2 linked regions of the Arabidopsis thaliana genome follow. The protein of the gene in region 1 purifies or fractionates together with the protein of each later gene. This does not show direct contact. Each region holds a gene or a part of one and is shown on either strand. Other genes may lie near its edges.

Evidence for each region. Proteins that work in one complex are often made in the same cells at the same time.
Region 2: the proteins of TMM (region 1) and ER purify together in Arabidopsis thaliana (affinity purification with western blotting, with the first as the bait; one study listed by BioGRID). This does not show direct contact.

The regions. Positions count from the first base shown.
Region 1 is NC_003070.9:30,125,948-30,132,509, reverse strand, and holds TMM (Leucine-rich repeat (LRR) family protein), read left to right. Parts: upstream 1-2,860; 5' UTR 2,861-2,946; coding exon 2,947-4,437; 3' UTR 4,438-4,691; downstream 4,692-6,562. Other genes in the region: CBSX4 (Cystathionine beta-synthase (CBS) family protein), read right to left, coding at 655-996, 1,077-1,181, 1,258-1,501, 1,815-2,083, 2,179-2,292; SUS2 (Pre-mRNA-processing-splicing factor), read right to left, coding at 4,936-5,127, 5,215-5,457, 5,527-5,805, 5,885-6,082, 6,198-6,359, 6,540-6,562. UniProt on the Arabidopsis thaliana protein: Promotes cell fate progression in stomatal development. In leaves, needed to correctly orient spacing divisions, to limit the number of asymmetric divisions in neighbor cells, and to promote the asymmetric (amplifying) divisions of meristemoids.
Region 2 is NC_003071.7:11,207,452-11,216,519, forward strand, and holds ER (Leucine-rich receptor-like protein kinase family protein), read right to left. Parts: upstream 7,212-9,068; 5' UTR 6,445-7,211; coding exon 6,366-6,444; intron 6,020-6,365; coding exon 5,881-6,019; intron 5,780-5,880; coding exon 5,708-5,779; intron 5,604-5,707; coding exon 5,532-5,603; intron 5,441-5,531; coding exon 5,369-5,440; intron 5,279-5,368; coding exon 5,207-5,278; intron 5,129-5,206; coding exon 5,057-5,128; intron 4,981-5,056; coding exon 4,909-4,980; intron 4,826-4,908; coding exon 4,754-4,825; intron 4,661-4,753; coding exon 4,592-4,660; intron 4,507-4,591; coding exon 4,435-4,506; intron 4,359-4,434; coding exon 4,287-4,358; intron 4,199-4,286; coding exon 4,127-4,198; intron 4,038-4,126; coding exon 3,966-4,037; intron 3,898-3,965; coding exon 3,826-3,897; intron 3,739-3,825; coding exon 3,667-3,738; intron 3,541-3,666; coding exon 3,469-3,540; intron 3,387-3,468; coding exon 3,315-3,386; intron 3,229-3,314; coding exon 3,157-3,228; intron 3,071-3,156; and 17 more. Other genes in the region: AT2G26340 (uncharacterized protein), read left to right, coding at 7,803-8,031, 8,158-8,206, 8,308-8,378, 8,468-8,562, 8,650-8,708, 8,780-9,025. UniProt on the Arabidopsis thaliana protein: Receptor kinase that, together with ERL1 and ERL2, regulates aerial architecture, including inflorescence (e.g. shoot apical meristem-originating organ shape, elongation of the internode and pedicels, and adaxial-abaxial polarity), and stomatal patterning (e.g. density and clustering), probably by tuning cell division and expansion.

The sequences.
Region 1 (6,562 bases):
TAGTATAGAATGATATATGAAAATAGCTAAATATTATTGTAAATGCGGATTAAAAATGACTGAAAAGAAGAAAGAGCGTGCTTGGAAACGGAACAAACAACTAGCTAGTATTAAACATATACTTTTTCATGTTATCAGAGTAAGTAGTAAAGTGGAGCGCATAATGAGTGGATGCTTTTTTAAGGTTATGTTACCAATTAAAACTAGTGATTAAATTATGATTATGGAATTATTATATACGAAAACTGAAATTGTCTCATTCGTATGTCATGCTTCTTTGCGCCCCGTGCTCGAGTACCCTATTCATTAATCACTACCCTCTCAGTATTTCATAATTTCTATGATTGCTTTGTTTTCTTTTATTATCCATGTACAATATTTTTTCCTTAATGGGATTATTCCATGTGCAATTTTGTTAACATGTTTATTTGTGTTTATAAGATATTCTTTTGGTAGAAATTCGTCATTCCTTTGCTTTGACATTTTTTCTATTTATATCATTTCCCTATATTTTTCTTATGTGTTACGTAAATGTGATGTTAACATTCGATATGATGAGTCATTGAGATGAAAAACGCAAAATTGTGTAAATTTTCTCTAAGAAACAAATAAAAGAAAATTTGAGTAATTGGAGAGAAGACTGAAAGTTGCGAGTTAAAACAGATCCGGAGCTCCGGAAAGCAAAGCGGATCGGACCACAGCGATGATGTCAGTAAGAGAAACAAGGCCTTGTAGCCCACCGTTCTGGTCCACGACCCAAACTCTGTGTACACGTTTCGTGGTGACCATATGGATCACCTGGGCCAAGGTTGATGTCACGTGACACGTCACGAGCTCCCTCCCTGGTGTTGAGGTAGCAGCGGTGAACAAGAGAGTTCTTGGGATTTTCTCGACGAACTCTAGTGCATTTAGCGGCAACCACGAACGCAATGTGGCTAAATGACATCCCTTCAGATCACTAGCCGAGAATGTCCCCACCACTCTCCGATTTTTCCCCTGCACCAGCAAACACCAAATTAATCAACATTTGATCTTAATAGATACTGATAGATACATGTATAAGTAAAGACACCTACGTCGACGAGCTGTTTATGATCCTCTCCCTCACCAGAGGCTTCGACGATAGGAACCGCATTGAGCATTGCTATACTCATGCATTGTATTGCATCTTTCACTCTAGCCTGGTATTAAACATTACAAGCGTTTAACTTAGGATTTAATGAATAAAGATGAAAATTCTTGACTTGTGAAATTTACCTGGCTAGTGAGGGCTAAAACAGTGTTGTGAATAGCGGAGAGATCAGTGACGGTGTGGGAGAGGATACCATGCAATTGAGAGGATTGGTCGAAGAAGAAAGAGATGAGATCCATCTGACTCAGCATTGCGTAAGCAGAAGCTGACTCTACCAACTCAGGTCCTGTTATATTTTCTGTATTACTGTCCAATGGAACCAATACCCTGTGGATTCCTTTACTCAACATCTCCATACAATCCATGATGCTGCTTTCATCAATGACCATCTTTGATTAGTACTCTATCCGTTCATATATAATGTTAAGATTTTTGACAAGAGAAAAATGTTTTGCATTTTTCTATGAAAAATTTGCATTATAATTTCTAATTTATCATTTAGTTTGAATTATAAAAAATATGAAACTATAAACAATTAATGACTGAAATATGGGTATATATATTAGGTGTTGCAAAAGAATTCTTACTATGTGAGAAAAGTGTACAACATCTAACATTATAAAAGGGAAGGATTAATTATACTGAAAGCAATTTAATTTTACAAATCTTCTATACTATTAACCTGGTATTAGGATTGAGAGACCAGAGGCTAAGACCCTCAGGGCAATGACCAATGATAGAAGAGACAGGGGCAGCCATTTTCTTATCAAGCCCACTCTCGCCGTCATCGCCGGCGATGTGAGCCACAACGTCGAGCATGGTCACCATTCCTATGTACTGTTTTCTTGCACTTCCGCTCTGTTTGTCCAACTCTACTATCATTGATCCCCCGGCTCCCAGCCATTGGCCTGGTTTGGCAGCCACCGGTACAGCTCTAACTCGGTTTGCCACCGGTTTGATACCAAGAATAGTCTTGTTAGTAATTCTTGATACTTAAAACGGTTGACTCCAACCAAAAAAATAACAATTATTTAGCCGTGGTTTACCATAGTGTTCAAGGCGTCCCCTAGAGTGGCATTATCAGGAACTTCGACCAGCCGCCGCTTGTCGATCATCAGATCTTTGACCTTGAACTGCATCAGACGGCTGTACGACTGCATGAAGATTTGTATTTGGGTGATAGTCAAAGTCTCAAAGAAAATGGGACGAGGCTTATGAACTTCTAATCTTTGTTTTGATGCTTTCGTAGTTACTTCATTATTCATATATGTCATGTTACTAGTAAGATGACACGTATTACATGTGTTGCTCCATGGGCATGTGCTTTTCGTATGCACAGACCACGCGTCCGTTTATTCAGATTCTCGTGTTACAACAAAATAATGATTTTAAGGTTCAGAATCAAACATATGAAACTTTTTATCAATTGCTATCTACGGTTTGTTACAAAAACAAATACAGTGCCCAGTTCAAAATACAAATTGAATAATAGCCCAACATATCGTAAATGGGAAAATGGGCTCAGCCCAAATAAAAAAAAAGTAAACGATAAGGAGACGTCGGGTCCCGTTCACGAAGCGGTCGGATCTAGGGCCCAACACAAGACGAATGAAGGGAATATCTCGTGAAAGCAATAAATGCAGAAATCGAGAATCATGAATTTTATTTATTTCGCTCCTCGAGTTATCCCGTGAAAGTCATAAAGACATTGCGAACGTTTTTATGGACCCACCAATTGTTTCTTCAGAATTATACATATACACACTGACAATTTCGAACCTAAACCGCATTCACACAACAACAACAACTAAGAAATGGCACGATATGAATTCTTCCGCCAAATATTCATTGTCTTGTCTATAGTTTCTCCGTTGGTCAGATCTTTCACTGTGATCACCTCCGACTCGACGGCCCCATCTGCTCTGATCGACGGCCCACAAACTGGATTCACGATGACCAATGACGGCGCTCGCACGGAGCCTGACGAGCAAGACGCCGTCTACGACATTATGCGTGCGACCGGCAACGACTGGGCTGCCGCGATTCCAGACGTTTGCCGAGGGAGATGGCACGGGATCGAGTGTATGCCGGACCAGGATAACGTCTACCACGTGGTCTCTCTGTCGTTCGGAGCGCTCTCAGACGACACGGCGTTTCCGACTTGTGATCCACAACGCTCTTACGTCTCTGAGTCCCTCACGAGGCTCAAACACCTCAAAGCCTTGTTCTTCTACCGATGTTTAGGCCGCGCCCCACAGCGCATACCGGCGTTTCTGGGACGCCTCGGCTCGAGTCTGCAAACGCTGGTTCTGAGGGAGAATGGTTTTTTGGGACCTATCCCTGACGAATTGGGCAATCTCACCAATTTGAAAGTTCTTGATTTGCATAAAAATCACCTCAACGGCTCCATTCCCTTGTCGTTCAACCGGTTCTCCGGTTTAAGATCGCTTGATTTGAGTGGTAACCGGTTGACTGGTTCCATTCCCGGTTTTGTTCTTCCGGCGCTGAGCGTTCTGGATTTGAACCAGAATCTTTTAACCGGACCGGTTCCACCCACACTCACAAGCTGTGGATCGTTGATCAAAATCGATCTTAGCCGAAACAGAGTCACTGGTCCTATCCCAGAATCGATTAACCGGCTCAACCAATTAGTGCTTTTGGATTTGAGCTATAACCGGTTATCAGGTCCATTCCCGTCTTCTCTCCAAGGCCTAAACTCTCTTCAAGCTTTAATGCTCAAAGGCAACACAAAATTCTCAACAACGATTCCTGAAAACGCGTTCAAAGGGCTCAAGAACTTGATGATTCTTGTTCTCTCGAATACGAACATCCAGGGCTCGATACCGAAATCATTGACTCGGTTAAACAGTCTTCGGGTCCTTCACCTAGAGGGCAATAATCTGACCGGAGAGATTCCTTTGGAGTTCCGGGACGTGAAGCATCTAAGCGAGCTGAGGCTCAACGATAACAGTCTGACAGGACCAGTACCGTTCGAGAGAGACACAGTGTGGAGGATGAGGAGAAAGCTGAGGCTGTATAACAATGCTGGTTTGTGTGTTAACCGGGACAGTGACTTGGATGATGCATTCGGTTCAAAATCTGGTTCAACTGTAAGATTGTGTGATGCAGAAACGTCGAGACCAGCTCCTTCCGGTACGGTCCAGCACCTATCTAGAGAAGAAGACGGTGCTTTGCCGGACGGAGCTACGGACGTGTCAAGCACTTCCAAGTCTTTGGGGTTCTCCTATCTTTCTGCATTCTTTCTTGTATTCCCTAATTTCATTTTTATGCTAATATCTAGTTAGAGGAGGGATGATAAAACTGCTGTAAATACTTCCCGAGTTTAATAATGTTAGTTAGATGCCTTTTCTGCATTAGTTGGATTGAATATCGCCACCATTTATGGCTACAAAAAAAACTTGTAAGCTCGAACGTGTTCCTTCTGTCTATATACTCTGTTCTTTGATCTCTGTTTTATCTTTCCGGAGATAAGAGACTTGTATTGCTTGTTCTTCCATGTTTTGTACATTTGGCGTTTATTCGAAATGGGAAAAACCTCTTAAAATAGTTTAAATTTGTCGTTTTATTTTCTCTCATCGAAGACGTTAGTTACCAAAATTCCGTTATACACGTACGTATGATTACATCACATTCAAGATTTTGATTATAGTGGCAAACCATCTTTTTAAGATTTAGGGACCTTACTATCTATCTCAGTAAAGCACAAGACAGTACAACATCTTACAAGTCTATACTGCAAAATAAAGCTAAATCACACACACGGTAAGAAAATTGAGTATATCTCAAGTAAATGTGTCCTCGCGATCTCCCTCTGTAATGTCAGCCTCCTCCATGTTGCTGAACTCCAGGAAATGAGTGGGTCGATGCTCCTCGTGATAGAACTCCTTTGGGGATCCGAGTTTGACACTGTATTTCATGCTCAACGTGTGCTTCACTCCAGTGAAGCTATAGTTCCACGGTCCACTCTCAGGAACCTATCATAACATCAGTTACAAAAATCAGATTTCAATGGTTTATATCATCCAAGGACAAAAGCACAATTGCAAACTCTGTTGTCTTACCATGTAAAACCCGAGGAACCGGTCACTCAGCAGCATCTGAACCTTTTCATAATGGGTGGGAAGGTAACCGTGAGGATTGCTGCCATTGTCCTTGTTAAGCCGCCCCCATTCATATCCGGTTTGGGTCAACTTATATGACGTCAAAGAGCAGGAGCCCGGAGTGAAACTGCAGGTCAGGATGATGCATTTTTCTCCATCCCATTGCTTGTTGTTCTCCAGAATACGGGAATGAGAGGTTACATCCTATCAAAGAAAAGATCAGTTAGCAATGAGGTTAACAGAAGGTAAAGATAAATATATATATATATATACCTGTGGTGATAGCTGAGGCAGCTCGTTAGGCTGTGTGTGCAACCATCCCAAGGGCTCAAGATCATTTAGGAAATCATGCTCAGGAAGAGATGACGGCAGGTGAACTAGCTGATGATTTCCCCACTGTGGCACCATCACAACACAACGGATCTCCTTCACCTGGGGATTATCCGGGGGACTAATACCATATAAATACCCAGCAATTTGAGTACGAAGATCCGCAACGCATATGAACTTCTTCAAAATGTTCTTTGGCATGATGTAGGTGTATCCGGTTTCCTGTGACAACAACAGACAGTGTTTAAGGTCGACACCTGAAAGGCTTTTACTTAATTGACAAAGTGAATTGGATTCTAACCTTTATGTCATCTGAGTTCACATATATGTGATTGACTCTAAGGTAAAGATTAGTGGCTGATATTGCACGTACACGCCAATCTGTCTTGGAACCGAATGCAGATTGCTCGTAAGGGCTTGTGGTGGTGACAATGAGCTCATCACCATGAACATTTGTAGTTCTTGTTGTGACTGCAGTAAGCTGGCTGGCTTCCTTTGCCTGCAAATAGGATATAGATTTACAGTGAACAAAGAATAATAGTCACAGTCCACTCTCACAATGTTTGTGTTTGTTAGAAAACCTGATAGAACATAGAAGTAACAGTTACGAGTACCTGTTTCTCAATCTCAGCTATCTGTTGCCTCTGTTGAGAGGGTGGAGTAATCTCAGCTCCAAGAATAATATCTCGGATCTCTGATTGTGTCAGAGCTGAGGTATTCACATTGTTTTTCTTTGCGTAGTCAGAAAGAATAAGATCTCTAAGTGCTACCTCCACCTGAATTTAACATGATCGTGAGTAAGGAAGGACTATTTCAAAAAAAGAGAAGAAAGTAAAAGCTATATATCACATAACTCACTAGTAAATAAAAACAGCAGATATAGAATGTAAAGAGGGATCCTATCAAATAAAAGAATATAGCAAGAAGAAGTACTTGGAAAGTGGCAGAAGAGTTACCTTCATCCATTGATCATCAGTGA
Region 2 (9,068 bases), on another chromosome or scaffold:
AACAAAATCAAGATGATATCTTTAAAAAGCCTTATACTGTATGTCATGTTCAAAAATAGAATTTAAACTTAGAACAAGTTTTGAAAAGGGTAGGCTTATCAGTGGGATAAACAACAATCAAGACGATTTTACAATCGCACAACAGTGCTACTCTTCTGCCTTCTTGAAAAGTCTTTTTTTTTACGTTTTAATTATTTACTACTTCTTCTTTTATGTATTTTTTTTGTGTAGACTCTCGTAAATGTATACATAAAAACCAAAGTTAGTAGATTTTAGTTGTAGTAATTAGTTCTTGTCTAAAATGCCTTTTTTGAAAAAAATCTTAGGAAAATGCCATTTTTAAATGGTGTACGGATTTATCTTTTTTAACATTTTAAAATGTATGTATTTACGATTTTGATTTTGCAAAAATACGTACTTTATACTAAACTAGAAAGTCTCACGCGCTGTATGAGTTCGAATTAATATAAGAAATTATAAAAAAACTATATAAAATAAATTAATCAGACAATATATTTGTTTATCATTTTTATTGCCAAGTGAGAAAACTTATTAACCTATCGTTTGCACTCTCATAGACGTGGTTGACATATAACACTACATAGCAAAACGTTTCTCGTAGTTTAGAAGGTTCTTTCTATGTATATGTTTTTGAGCATAAGAAATCTTTTGTGGTGGTGACGTGGTGTTGAGTACTAGATCTAAGATATGTTACAAGAATAACCCAATTTAGAAAAACTTAGATAGGCAAGAACTTATAGGAAGTCTAAGTGCCAGTCTGAAGACATATTCACACCACACACTTGTCTAATAATAATAAGGCAGTGCATAATACTTTACATGAGACATTAATTTTTCTAACAGCTTAACGCAACGAAAAGATACCGTTTTAAAGATTCTCCTCCTAACGAAAAACTACTCACTGTTCTGAGAAATAACTTGTCCAAACCGAAGAAACAGTTGAGCATCAGAAGCACTCATGGAAGAGCAATTGACAGAATGAGGAGTCTTGAGATTTGCATACTCATCGACGTAGCACGAACCAGCCAGCGTCGCTGACGTGTCAGTCGCAGCAGGTGGTTGTTCCGATAGCATAAAACTGCCGAGAACACGAGTCACCTGGTGCATTGTGGGTCGATCATTCGGCTGTCTTTTGGTGCATAGGAGTGCCAGTTGGAAAACTTTCTTCACCACACCGAGATCTTTACACGTCGATGTGATGTCTGGATCTGCCATTTCCATCACTTCATTGTTCCCCGTCTTTGACATTATCTGATGTAAGTGAATCAATGAAAACAAGATTACGGACTTGACCTAAACAGAGCAGCTGAGAGAGATAGGCAAGAAAGAACAAACCAGATGGTGGAGATTGGATTCGTCATCAACGGCTTTCCTTCGGGTTAACAACTCAAGAAGGACTATTCCATAACTGTAGACATCGGATTTCTCAGTGAGCCGTGAAGTGCGAGCATACTCGGGGTCTATGTAACCTATCGTGCCCATCACGTAAGTTGAAGTATGTGACTTTGACACACACAAGCTTTTCGCTATTCCAAAATCTGTCAAACGAGCCTCTAAGTCTTTGTCCAAGAGAATGTTGGACGACTTCACGTCTCTGTGAATGATCCTTGGACTACAGTCATGGTGTAGATAAGCTAAACCTTGTGCTGCACCATATGCTATCTTAAGCCGTGTGTCCCAATCAAGAGTCTTTTTCTTCGTAGGGCCTTTACAAAACACACAAGCAAGTTGTTATGTCACAGAAGATTCAAATAATTTTCTATGTTTGGCGATGAGACTTACCATGAAGAAGATCCCAGAGGCTACCATTTTCCAAATAGTCATAGAACAGAAGACTCCCCAAGTGAGAGAGGGAATAAGCTTGTAGGCTCACAAGATTTCTGTGCTTGATGCTACTTAGCATCTCGAGTTCTGTTTCAAACTGTTTCATTGACTGTGGGTTGTGAGAGTAAAGCCGCTTAATCGCAACCGGTTTACAATTCTTCAAAACACATTTGTATACAGTGCTTGATGCTCCGTGCCCAATGATATACTTCTCACTTAGATTCTCTGTCATTCTCATGATATCCTCGTAAACGTGGAGTGCCATGTTCATATGAAGGATGACGAGCTTCGGTGTCGAATAAGTTACTGATGTCACCAGGAAATTTAAGGATTAACTATTGGATTACATTGTAGGTGAAGAACATTCGTAAAGTGGTTTGGAGAGTAGACCTGGTTTGTCAAGTGATCCATCAAGAAAAGGAGGAGGATTATGCGGTCGGCAAGCTGCTATTAAGACCATGAGAAGGATCACAAGTCCCCCAATAGCTATTCCAAGAATAGCTGCTCTAGAGATTGACACTGCAGACAAAACATGGATAGAAACATGAGCTTTAATTATCTTAGGTTTTGTGAATGGAAGCTTTTAGAAGAATGTAATCACCTCGTACAGTTCGACGAGAATCATGACACGGTGAGTTTAGCCAACTACCGCAAAGACCAGGATTGCCAATGAAGCTTTATCCAAAAACATAAACATAGATATTAGCAAACAAAACAAAATGCACAATACCAAAACCTGCTAAATTACCATACCTGTCTGGTGAAAATCTTGAGAAGTTATTGTTCTTAGGGATATCACCTACGAGGTTGTTATGAGATACATTCCTATAAGAGTTAGTGAAGATTGCAGGGTTATATTCTTAGCAAAAGATGCACAAAGAGGGACAAAAAATGTTTCAGAACCAAAGGTGCCTACTTACAATACAGTGAGACTGAGACAGTTGGCTAATGAACCAACATTACCAGTCAGGTTATTATTTTCCAGTCTCCTGCAAGCAATTTTAAGAAACACAACATTAGATAGATCACCAACCCAATACATGTTCCTGGATCACACTATAGTGACCTCATTATTGTGTATACAGAGTTTTAGTTTCATTCTACAAAAACAATTTCTTAACAGCTTGGAAGGGATAAGAGGAAGATTGCTTACAGCAAAATTATGTTCTGTAATTGGTTAAGCTCTTCTGGAATTGGGCCAGAGATATCATTATTTGAAAGATCTCTGCAACCACAAACACACAAATTCAGAACAGTAATTGAGATAAATGAAAAAAACTCTAACCAAGCAGATAGAAGTTAACTTCTTACATTTCCATGATGCTTCTTAGATTTCCAAAGTCGCCTGGAACTACACCAGTTATATGATTTCTACTCAAGTTCCTATAACAAGAATGCAAGAGTTCACAAACCATTTTCATCTTTTGCTAGAAATAAACAATAAAACTGGAGGTCTTATGGATGCTCACATCTTGAGAAGATGCTCCAAATCACCAAGGGAAGAAGGAATGATTCCATTTATCTTGTTGTTGGAAAGATCCCTTCAAATGTCATTAAATTTAATAAATGTGAGACAAGGCACATATAATGATGTATACTTCACAGAAAACAAGAAACACTTACAATGTATCTAAGTTACCGATACGAGATAGCTCAACCGGGATTGGACCTTTGATATTGTTGCTGGACAGATTACTGGTTGAACCGATAAATCAAAGGCAACCAAAAACTCAGTAGTTAATGACTTGAAATTCGAAAAAACAAACGCTGTGGAACTATATATTATATAAGATTAGAGAAATTCTCAGCGTCGATACTTACAGGTAAGTCATACTTTCTAGCTTTTGAAATGCTCGGGGTATAGTGCCACTAAACTTGTTCCCATGAACATTTCTACATTACATTAATGAGACACAAAATCATATAAAGCACCAATCTTGAACATTCAAGTGAGAAGTTTTCAGAGAAAGAGATACATACAAGCTGTTTAGATTTGTGCAAGAGCTCAGATGATCAGGTATAGGTCCTTCCAGATCATTGTTGGCCACATTCCTATATGTACATAGTTCATATAAGCATAAGAACATCAAAACATGTCAAGCATAGGAAGAACTACTTACAGATCAAACAAGTCAGTAAGCTTCCCAAGCTCTGGTGGTATATGACCCGTGAGATGATTATCATTGAGTTCCCTATGAATATTTTACAAATAGTTGATAAGGAAACACAACTTAGTAGTGACTGTATGCAAAAAGAGAAGTGAAGAGAAGGTTGGTCATACAGGTAATGGAGTTTTGACATGTTTCCAAGCTCAGGTGGAATTGAACCAGTCAGCTTGTTACTGTGCAAATACCTAGAGATAAAGCCAAAAAGATAAATCACTATCATTAACATGGTATGACATTTGACTCCAAACTGAAAACAAACAGGTAAAGAATTACAATTTCTCGGTGAAAGTAAGATTTCCGAGAATCGGAGGAATAGATCCACTCAACAAGTTGCCACTTAGATCTCTGTAAAAGAAAACATATAACCTAAGTTCATGAAAATGTTATAAGTAGCTTCATTGATTAGAAGAAAAGTACTTACAAGACTGCAAGGGCTTGCATGAGACCAATCACTGATGGAATCTTCCCAGAGAGTTGATTGCCTTGCAATGATCTAAGATAAGAAAATGATCTTCTTTAAAAGAAAACAAAGGCTAGCCAAAATTTAAAGCAAAAGATTAGTAGAGGTGAGAACTAACAATGTTGCAACTTGCAGGAAGCCGATGTCAAAAGGGATCTCACCAGTTAGCTGATTGTAGGACAAGTCCCTGAGTTCGTAATAAGCAAACCAGTTAAGTAGATTTTCTTAAGTAACCCAAATTACAGTAATGATGTTTAGAAGTAGAGAAAGAGGCACATACAAAACCTGGAAGGCAGTGCAATTTCCTATCGTCTCAGGTATACTACCAGTCAAACTGTTGTTTCTTACGTCACTGATTCAATATCAAAACAAAGTCAGATATTTGATATTTACAAAAGAACTCATCATACTATTCAGATGTGCAAGAAGACTCACAAATACCAAAGACCAGTCAGTTGACACAAATCTGGAGAAATGTTACCGACTAAGTTGTTTCCTCGCAACCCACTGCTCATCATAGTACAACAATTATCACCGGGTAATGAAGAGACATTGACAGACTTCAAAAAACATTGACACTTACAGATACTGAAGAACTTCATTCCAGTAAATAAGTCTTGGTATCTCACCACTGAGTTTATTCTGTGCCAAGTCCCTGCAATTGAAATTACACATGTATGATCACCTATATAGCTAAAAGTAGTAAGACATGTAAGAATCATGGGGAACATACAGAATTTTCAGGTTTGGAATCTGTGAAAGTGTTGAAGGGATCGGTCCTATCAATTGGTTATTCTTCAGAATCCTGGACAAAGTAAAAATCCATATTCCACATGGTGAGTATATTTTTAGCAATGACATATGAAGACTAGTAGCAGAATAACTAGCTACTTACAGCTGCTCAAGTTGCTTCAACTTCGAAATCGAAAACGGTATGTCACCACTTAATTCATTGAAGGATAAGTCTCTGAATAAAAAACAACATGAACACACTTCATCAAATAAAACCTCTATGAACAAAAGTTTAATGGTAGAATAACACCAATCACTGTTCTTACAAGTTTTGCAAAGAAGAACAGTCACCAATCTCATCAGGGATTTGTCCAGACAAGCGATTACCTCGCAGATCACTACATTAGAAAAAAACAGAAGACAAAAGTCACAACTCAGAGAGTGGAATAGAATTAAAGTAAGATACTTTATTTCATGCTACAGTGAATGTTGAAACAGTTACATTGACAAGAGACTCTTGAGATCTCCAATAGCAGGTGAGATTTCTCCATCAAGATTCAAATCTGACAAATTACTACAAAACATAGAAAACACACACAAAACAAATTACAACTTTTTCCCACAAGAACACCAAAAACCACTGTAATAGTAATCTAAAGGAATGAAGAAACTTACAGAGCAACAACATTGAAGGTGACATTTTCACAAGACACACCTCTCCAGACACAATAATCCGAAGAAGGTGAAGTTGTCCAGTCATAAAGAACATTGTTCACATCTTTGAATGACTTCTTAATCTCCAGCAACGTTGCTCCTTTAATTTTGTTTTAAGGATATTTTATTAACACACACGCACAAAAACAAAAAAAAATATTTGTCAGTTCTTGAGAAGATTAAAAATTCAACTTCCAAGAAAACAAAATAAAACTCAAACCCTAATTTATTCAAAGCTTCTTTTGATTCTATAGAAGACCCACCAAGTAAAAAAAAACCATTACAAAAAGCAAAAATAGAAAATAACAAGTACCCAGATCTCATTTTCACCAAATGAAACTTCAAAAATCATATAAAAATCTCATCTTTAAGTTTTTTTCACTAATATAAAACAAAAAGACGAAAATCTTGAACTTGAAGAAGCATGCATCAGTATAATAACTGACCCTCCTCTGAAGTCACAGTAGCTACTAAGCTCAAGCAGAAGAGAAACCCAAGAAGAACAATATCTCTAAACAGAGCCATTTCTCACACACAGTCTTAAAACGACTGCGTTTTTAGATATACTTTAAAAGCTTTCAAGTCTCCATGAAGAAGAAACAGAGGATAGAGAAGAAGAAGAGAACCGTATTATGTACCGACATTAGATTTTTTTTCTTTCTTTTATTATGATTTCTACAGAAATTTGTTTTTGTTTTTTTACTTTAACCGAGAAAAAATGATTTTTATCGTTCCATCACATCAAATTCTGGCGGAAATTTACAGTGGTTTCATTGAGTGCTCAGACGACAGAAATACAGAGTAAGATAGAGATGGAGAGAGAAAGAGAGAGAGTCTTTAAAGAGAGGAGATTGTACAAATGTAGGGACCTGTTGTGTAAGAGAGAGAGATGAAGGGAAGAAGAATTATTTGGGGAGGATAAAGTTAAAAACCCCATCATCTTTTATCTCTCTGCCAGAGTTCTGAAGCTTTGCAGAAGAGAGAGATAGAGTGAGTGAGAGGGAGTGATTTTGTTTCTCTCTCTTGAAGGGTAAAACGGTCATAAAATGTAGAAGAAGAAGGAGAAGAAGAACATGTTAATGGCAGTGGTGAATAAAGGAGGTCGCTTTCGTTGCCCAATACTTACGAGTCTTTGTCTCTCTGTGGCTTGTTTCACAGATGACCCATATCAATAAATCCATCTTATGGGTACTTTTGTAATTATGTATTTTTATATGATTTTAGTGTAATTTTTTTGTTTGCTTAACATGTTCTTCTTCATCTTCTTACTTCAATTACTAATTTAAATTCAGGAGTTTACAAAAAGTTTGGTTCAGTTTTCTCTTCTTTAATTATTAGTATAGTTGTTGTGTTTTTGTCAACGTTTTTTAGTATAGTGAACGTGTGATTTCTAAGTGTTTTTGTTTATTACTAAATTTAGAAATATGCATGCCAATGATTTTTGGTTTAGCATCAACACAAAACTTAATAAAATATGATTGGTTTTAGGATGTTAACCGGTTTGGTTGGCTCCGGTCGGTTTGTCACAAAATTAATATTTTGAAGCTTTGAGAACGAAGTGGACTAAAACTAAAAGGGTCACAGGCCCAACAAAAGAAGGAAGAACTTAAAAAATAATAATTCCTTTTCATTTTAACTTCTCTTTTTTTTTTTGTTAAATCATTTATTTGTTTCAATAAAAATACACATAATATTATCTTTTCTCAAAAAGTACTATATAGTTAGAAAACTACATATTTATTTTAACCCAAATTATTATTTTTCCATTCCTTACACACTGTACGTTACACTTTTTATTATCATTTGCTGTACAACGTTAATATTTTTAACCATTTCTGCAATTGTTTACCTCTTTTTCATCCGCAAATTTCTAATTAAATTATATGTTGAATGTTCATAGCCATAATAATAATTTGTCCAACGGAGATAAGACGCCTCTGGTGTTATCCCCAATGTCGTCACTCCACGCTACCGTGAGCCTCCCACTGTTCTCCAACTCAAACCACAAAAAGCTAACGTGCGCAGCTACATTATCACCTCCGCCATGGAAACAGAGCCGGCGAGTTATCTCCGTCTCCTTTTTTCTCTCCCGTCTCCTCCTCCTCCCTAACGGTACACGCATCTCTCTTCAAATTCACCAATCCGATTCTCAATTTCACGAACTCGATTTTCAATATCACCAATTCGACTTTTGTTCATTTCAAATTTGGTTATTTATATGTTGATGATGATGATCAGATGCTATGGCTGGTGGCTTAATGGATAAATTGGATAAATACGTCAAGAGGTAACATTAAATCGTCTCCGATGCTTATTCCTTTGAATTCTGAAGTTAGATTTTGAAATGTTTGGTGAATTATCTAAAACTTAAAACCAGTTATTGAATAGGAAGAAACTTGATCCACTTGAAGCATATGTACCACCAGTGATTCTAGCTCAGTTACAAATCCAGGATCTTGGTAAAATTTCTCTGTTTTTTTGTTACACATTTGTTCTTAAAACTCTTGCTATATAAAACTTACACTCATGTTTATTTATGATGTTGGAGAGGGATTTTTGAATGTGGAGAAACCTGAATTTGAGGCGTGTAGACGCCAATTGCGGTCTGGTCCTGCTAGCTCTCTTCGTGTAAACATTCGAGCTGTAAGTTTTTAAAGCTCACTTGATGTCACTCATTTGGTTTCTGTTTGATGATGAAATGTGTAATGCAAACTCTTTCAGGTTGCTCAGTATGCTTCAGATGATGGTTTCTCCAAAACCGCCACTGATGATGTTGATCGATGTTTAAGGTACCGACAATGTTTGAATGAATGATGATGACCTTTGCGTGTGTAATTTATGTTGGCTTTTCCTTCTATAGAGCATTGGAAGAACTGGATTCGTTGTTTCTACGTGCGTCGAGGAAAGATTCAAATGCAACTGTTGTATTGATGAAGTCACAGCTTGGAACAGCGTTAACCGCACTGGACAGTCTTCTACAAACAGTTCCTTCTCAAGTGCTTGATAAAGGGAAAGCTATGGTGGAAGTCTACAGATCAGCATCTGAAGAAGATGCGGGAAGTGATGATTTAGAATCCTCTGAGATAAAGCAGCTCCAGTCCATACTGTGAGAGGGGAGGTCACAGGACTATTACTATCCAAAAACAGTT